Linked DNA regions of Drosophila melanogaster. The protein of the gene in region 2 interacts with the protein of the main gene of each other region in a pairwise test. Each region holds a gene or a part of one and is shown on either strand. Other genes may lie near its edges. The genes, in order: smal and ckn.

Region 1 (3,928 bases), on a different chromosome or scaffold from region 2:
TTAATGGTAGCTATGTGGATGCATCTATGAACTTCGGTGCTTTAAATTCTTTCACGCACATCGAATTATGGGTTTTAGGCGCAGTTTAAAGCAGATTGGGCAAATCTGCGGCAAATCTGTTGTTCATTGGAGGCATACTCAAACGTCTCATTACCATAATATAGCCAACTCAATTCCGCCTGGGCCCACCAACTTTTTCTACAATGGCAATAAAGAGTTCCCCTCGCAATCGACCACGAAAAGTTTTTTCAGCGGTATTATCATAATGATTGCGCCCCAAACGGCGCTTGGGGCAGATTGAGGGACTCGCCCGCCTGCTGCCAACTTGTTTACACAAATTTTAATTGGTGTAATTATGATTTTTACACGAAATTAATTATGCATGCGCGATTGCGGCTGCATCTTCGCAGCTCGCGGTAATCGCTACCCATCGGATGCCCAATCTCAATCTTAAATTTCTAAACCATCCCAAGTGAGCAAGAAAAATAACTCGAGTTATTTACAAAAGCTGATGATTGCGGGGGGAAAAAGCGAAAGCGAGGTCTCTGGAACTTTAATTGCCAAACATACTTCTACTTAATTACCCCGCAGAACAGCGGGAAAATTATGAAATCCAGGGGCCTCGTTGCGCGTCTAGCGGAGTGTGAAGTTGCCAAAGACTCGAGGTTGAGGTTGTACTGCGGAATATCTAGATACATAACTGCATCTGCGAGATAAGAATCTGTGTGCAACAGCCGTCGGAGGCACAAAGTGTTCGGAGAAAGATCTTTCTTTAGGAGATAAGGGCAGTATCTTAGCGTTTTACGACCTGCCGCCGCTTTTCTTCTTCGCTTCTTATTTATAAAATACAGCAGGTTAGTTTGATTAGCCCCAGATGTTGACAGCTTGGCTCTTTCTTAATTTGTGTTTAATTAATGAGGCAAGGGGACAGCCACCGTAAGAAATGGGGAGAACGGGTTGGAAATGATATCTTTTGATCTCTGGAATGCGCCTTGATGAGATACATTTGATTGGGCCAATATTCTTCTGGTTTCTTTTCGGATAAATGAATTATTTAGTTAGTAATTGACATAAACTTGTTTTTGTCGCACTAATTGATTGTTTGCAACTCAATATTTATTTATGCATTGCAAAGTCTCTATGGGGAAATCCTGTTTATTGACATGATTGCTTTGAGCATTGAGCACTGATTGTTTTCAAGTTAGGCCTTTCTTCACTCTCAACTCACCTAAATATTCCAAGAGTTTTGAATTAGCCTTTGCGTTGACTTAAGGTGTATATTGATTGTATTCCGTTTGCACTTTAGTTTGTAGCAAAAAACAACGATTTCTCTACTAAAATTTCAAGCACTGTTGTTCACTGGGGCAGCAAAAGATACTCTATCTGCTGGTTTGTTTCGATATGTTTGAGCACTCCGTGGGCATTTTCTCAGGTAGCACATTTCACACACTTTGCCGCACGCTGCTGGCGGCCGCAGGTGCACAATTGCCGCATCTTGGGTGCCACTTGCACCGTATCTTATTCCTGACCAATTCGTATCTCTGCACTCGCGCTGCGCGGATTGCGTATCCGTATCTGTCGGATCTCTTGGCGATTGGCTGCCAGCCGATTAAGCCTGAGATGGGTAACTGCGTTGATTCGCGACCGCGTTGCCAGTGGCCAAGGCGTTCTGTTCTTCTTGTCACGAGAGCTGGATTGAGACTGGGGGCACAAACTGAGACTGAGACGGCGGACTGCGACAGCGACTGCGACTCTTGTAACGCGCGGCACGAAGGTCGACGAGCGATTGAATCCGATTGAATGTAACGTGCAGCGCACCACTCCGTTGCATGTAAGTGTGGATGCTAAGAGAGCGAGCGCTTCTCTTTTGTGGACTCTGTTCGCTCGTCGGTGGAACTGTTTACAAAGTTTATGTGTGGAGAGCGCTGTAAAGGACCTGCAAGGATTTATATTATCAAATTAACATTTAAATCATAATTTGGAGTTGTTTCTATGTTTTTGTTTCCTTAAAACTTATCATTTAAGCTACAGTATAGTTTATATTGTATATGCTGCGCTAAAAACTAAGTTTTTCAATTCTCAGTAAAATTATCCACAATGGAGTTGAATTTACCTGCCCAGGCCCAGGCACTTCACCTGTGCTCTGTGAAAATCGCCGAGAAACTCCAAATCCGATAGAGTTTTTCCGCTCTCTTCCGGCTCGTATAAGAGATTTCCGTCTGCGGCGAATGTGGAACAAAACAAGAGCGAATTCGAACTGTTGATTTGTTTTTACCCTCCCCGACTTTTCCTTTCGCTCGCTTTTTCCGGCGAATCCGCCTTGCAGTCCAAATTGGAAATGGCGGACCGCCGCCAATCGCGGCCTCTGATGAATTTCCAATGATTGACGCCGGCATTAAGCCGAAATCGCACATACAACTTGTCATAATTTCCAGCAGAGAAATGCGATCTTGTCACATTGGTGCACCATATCATATGGACATGTATGATTTACGAACTCTACGGTTTTCGTGGGGCATGGGGATTTATAGCTACGCACTTGTAGATTGTATCGCAGAGGTTGTGGGTTGATTGATTGGTCTCACCAGTTGATCCGACCCTTTGTTCTTCGCCACTTTCGAATGTTTGACTCGGTGACACAATTTCGAGGGGCCCACAACGAATTCCTCGAGTGGATCGCCGCTAATCAACTGATATCGCTCCGGGCCAGATCGCCTATCGAAAAGCGAACAGCGTTTGGAAAGGCGTTATCTGGAAACCGTAACCAATTTGTATCATATATGGTGACTGTTTATGAAAGCAGTACTTCTTCTGTCTCTTTGTCTGTTTTCTTAGTTAAAAAAAAAAAACATGTTTTTTGTCTTCTATTTTATGATTACAGACACCCAGAAAGCTATGAATTGGATATTAATTTAAAAATATATACAAATATTCTGCAAGATTAATGTAAATGTTATTGACAGGACAACTCCAGCAAATCAAACATTCTGTCTTGTAGTCAATTTAACTTTGTACGTAGTTTTATTCGATAGACTCTTTGCATGTTCCTATCAATTGGCCATTTGTCACATCCGAGTGTACAAACAAACAGCAGACAGCAGAAGCATTGCCAACTTCCAACCATAACTCATACCCATTCCGGCCAAAGCCGTTGGGCATGCGCTGTCTGTCAAACGGCTTGTTCGCCTGCCCGGCAGTCAAAGAAATCAGCGGACGAGCGGATGAGCGGCGGCCAAATGGTTATGATCAGGAATTTACACAAAAATGCATTCAGCGCTGCTAATAGATATACAAAATACATACATAGATAGAACAAGCAAATGTTGCGTTATCACGAGTAAATATTTACATAGCCTTCAAGGACTCTGTGAATACATCAACCCCATGCTGCGATACTGGCATAGTATCTTTTGCCACATTTGTTTATTGTCCCAGACCTTTCCCACTCCATAAAGTATTTATAGATACTGACATTCTCGATGGACTGCTTTCGAAGATTAAAAATTCTATCAGATACCCATTACTGTATTTTATCTATTGTGCAAGAACGATAGCTGTTGACACGACGGTTGATCCTGATGAAGAATTCATTCCAATGCATCTGGACTGATAGCCAAATATAACAAGCAAACATACGCCATTTGGTTTACGCTGTGATAGTATCCATGAATCGAACTGATAAGTTCCTTGAGTCCTCGTTCATGCAATGTAAGTATTTGCTTATGATAACGCGACAGCGTGCCACTCTGTATTCTTCGGACGAAGTTTGTAAATTTATCAGCCGCGCTGATTGCATTTTTGTGTAAATTCCTGTTCATAACCATATATATATACGCCGATTTGTTTGACTGCCGGGTAGGCGAACAAGCCGCCTGACAGACAGCGCATGCCCAACGGCTTTTGCCGGACTGCGACTGAGTTATGGATT
Region 2 (3,928 bases):
ACATATGTAAATATTAGATACTATATAAAGATTGAACATATTAAGTTGGGCTTCAAAAAGATAGAGCCCTATTTATACGTTCAATGTTCCTATATATAACTTCAAGTTGTAAGATATTAATAGATCGTTCAACTTGGTTTACTTTTCCATTGCAGCGAGAAGATTAATGAGAGGGAGTGGGGACAGCAATTGATAATCTCCTTATCTGTCCCACTGTGCGTTGAATGCCACGCAAAAGACAAACAAACCGAGGCACGCACACACACACACACACACACACACAAGCGAATGAACCAAGCACAACCACTTTTCATGCCGCACAAGGCAATAAGAGAAATAGAGAGATGGAGCCACTTGGGGAGAGAGCGCAAGAGCGAGCGAGGCTCCATCGGCGGTAACTCTATTTGAGAACCGCGCAGCTGCATGCTCTCGCTCTCTTTCTCTGCCTCTAATCTCTTGGTGGAGCCATTGCCGCCCGACTCCCCTCCCCAACCGTTATTCTAACACTTCATTGGAGACAACGACATCAAGTCATTTGATTCCCACACAAATCTCTGCATATTGAGCGCGGACTCTCTCTACATCTCCAGCTATCTCGCTCTCACTCGTTTTATTATGGCAAGTGAGTTATGGTTTTTCCGGCTGTGTGTGTGTAAGTGTGTACTGCTGCGCTTTCTATTGATTTATATGAGTTTTATGGCGCAATCTGAGCTATAACAGCCAAAGAGCAGAAAAAATTTACGTAGAGCGCTGGTCTCGATTTTAATTATGGCAAGGGACAATTATGCAAACGGAGAATTAATAAAAAAAAAGGAAAACAATAAAGAACAAGACTTTAAGTTTTATTACACTCCCACTACTCACGACCAGAGTTGTCACGTGTCGTTCGCAATGCCAGACACGTGTTCGTTTATTAATTACATAAGCCTAAACAGCGGCAGCTGCAGTCGTGAGTACCCCTCCTCCTGATTGTCTTTTGTTTCCTCTATTTTTTTGTTGAAAACCCAATTTCCTGCAGATGCTAAAGATGCCGCATTGAATACAAGGCGCATCGAAACAGCTGGCAACCCTCATAAGTGACAGATGGCGACGCCGACGTCGACGCAGGCAGCGCAGGACGAAGGCCGCATCAAAATAAAAACACAAAAAAGAGTTGCCGCCTGTCCGAAATGTACCAAAAACACCAAGACCCATTTAAGTGTAAACGTAATTAAGTGTACATATTATAAACTTACGTTAGCAGATAATATTACTATTTTCCAGGCTTTTGGCTAAGTTCTCTCCGCTCCTCCTCTTACCGTTCGACAAATCACATAAATCACAAGCGTAACGAAAGCTGGCACACAAAATGTAAACAATGTAAAACGCTCGTAATTGTTGCTTTTGTAGCTTAATGAATTTCACGTTTTTTATGGTTTTTTCCACAAAAACAAGAGACTAACAAACGGCATCAAACGCACGCAGACACATCCACTCGCACCAAAACTCACTGTTTGTTGTCTTTATTTTATGTCTACGACGCGCGAGTAAAACATAAAAACCAGATTAATTTCAGGCAGACGAAAATGTTGACGCTTTTTTTTTTGTTGGTTTCTTTTAAGCTGAATTTCTTGCTCAGTTGTTGTGGTCGCGAGTGCTCTTTTTTATTTGCTGAGCCGCCATTTTCTTTTGTGGCAATTTGTTGAGTTTTATTTATTTTTTTTATTTTCTCAGATATATTAAGCACTGCTTTCTTACTTTGTAATTATAATCACTTTACTTTGTTGTGATATCCGTACTTGTGATATATTTCGTTTTTGAATCTAACGACAAAAGAACGGGTTTCCGCTACAAACGTCCGAACAGCGGAAAAACGAAAACAAAACTTAGTGTGATCGCAGCGTGGCTGTTGGAAAATACCTCATTAATAAAACATCGATTGCACACAAAGTATTGACGTATCGATGTTTTAGTATTTTTGGGTCATCTGCTCAGTTTGTGTTTTGAAGTTGATGTTATAATCATCAAAAAATAATGTCTTTTGTATTTTTGCTTTAAATAGTGTTGTACGTACAACTTTTTCATTTATCACCGGTCATAATTGTTTTCCACCCCTGAAACCGGTGTGGAAGCTCAAAAATACCAATTATTTAAAAACGACCCCTAGCAGTGTTGGTAAACATGTTATTATTGAGGCACTTGCAGCACTCCCTTGTCGGTATTTTCTGTGCTGTCACTTCGCGTTCTCCGCTTTGTGCTCTCCTTCCACAACGAAATAAACGGAGAAATAGCAATGTTAGTTTTAATTCGTTTTAGCCATAACAATTAATTAAACGAGTGCGAGTGCCAGTGTCTTAATTAAAATGTATGTGGCGCACTGATTGGCTTTAATTTAAATGTTTCGTGCTGTTTGATTTGTCCCCTGTGTTATATTTGTGCGGCGTTTTGTGCATACTTTTTGTGGTTAAATAAACTAAAGGAACCAGTGTGAGTCGATTACTAAGCTTAAGCTTATTAAAAGTGTTAATGTTAAAAAAGCGGCGTCTTAATTGAAAAATGCTAATGAGTTAAAACAGGTTGGCGACTCTCCTGCTCGCTCTCGATGCCCTGCCTCCACTCTCTCTCTTTCTCGCTCATTTGTTGCACTATTGTTGTTGCGGCCAACTGGGTACTTTTAACAGTTACCTTGGTCAATGTACGGCATTAATTACGCTCAAATACTTAAGTACTGAGATGCCAAGTAAGCGGTGAAAGAAGGAGAGGCGAGGAGTAAAAATAAACTAATTTGCACACTCGCTTTGGCGTGCTAATTCCACTTACTTTTCTTCTTTTATTGTTTTGTGGGCGTTTTGCATGATTCACTCGCGTTTGTTTTGTCTTATTCGTTTTATCAACGTCTACGCATTTGGTGCAGCGCAAGCAACAACAACTACCTGTGGCATGCAGTTCGTTTGGCGTCTGCGTATGTGTGTGTGTGCCTCAAATGTCAAAGTTGACATTTGGTTTTGGGCGGGATTTCAAATTCGTGGGCAAAGAGAAAACGATAACAGAGAGAGCAATAGAAATTCATAAGTTCGTTTATCTATCAGATTCTGAAGATAATGCTACGACACTTTACAGTTAAGCTTCTACAAAATAACAAATCCTTAAAAAAGTTCAGTCAATGTATAAATATAAATATATTTCGCCACTAATAGTTTATTAAAATATATTTTTTTATTTAAACTAGAAAATAAAACTTACTTTTAGCTTAATTTGTAATTGTAAAATGTCTTTTTAATTTATTTTACTGTAAACCGCTTCGTTTTTAACTCGTATCTATTTACTCTTATTTTTGCAGTTTTCTGTTATCAATCTGTTTGTCTCTGTGTGTTACGTGATATCAAAATATTTTACCCAGCTAGCAAATGCAGAAAATGCCCTCGCAAATTCTGAACGACGGCAGCAGCGTCAGCTTGAATAGCGCCAGTATGAACATGGCCAATACGCCCAATAGTATAACGGTAAAGACCGCCTACAATGGCCAGATTATCATTACCACCATCAACAAGAATATCTCATACGAGGAGCTGTGCTACGAGATTCGCAACATTTGTCGATTTCCTCTGGATCAGGTAAAATATATATAAAGTACTGCACGTTACAGAAGTGTAATTCATTGAGCGTTTTGTTTAGCCATTTACCATCAAATGGGTAGATGAGGAAAACGATCCCTGCACCATATCAACGAAAATGGAATTGGACGAGGCCATACGACTTTACGAAATGAACTTCGATTCCCAGTTAGTCATTCATGGTAAGTCTGCTCAAAATTTAAAATTGCAAAGATACGTTAGAGTAATAAATAAAAGAAAGTCGAGTTATTGGTTATTATTGGTTAAGGAATTTCGATTGTAATTTAAGTTCGCTTCTAAAACTGAAAACGATAAACTTATCTAATAAGGTCAGT

What was found.
Region 1: the proteins of ckn (region 2) and smal interact in a two-hybrid assay, tested with the Drosophila melanogaster proteins (one large-scale study listed by BioGRID).

What each region holds. Positions count from the first base shown.
Region 1 is NT_033779.5:6,177,000-6,180,927, reverse strand, and holds the start of smal (smoke alarm), read right to left. Parts: upstream 1,796-3,928; 5' UTR 1,229-1,795; intron 1-1,228.
Region 2 is NT_033778.4:14,961,233-14,965,160, reverse strand, and holds the start of ckn (caskin), read right to left. Parts: upstream 1,870-3,928; 5' UTR 1,236-1,869; intron 1-1,235.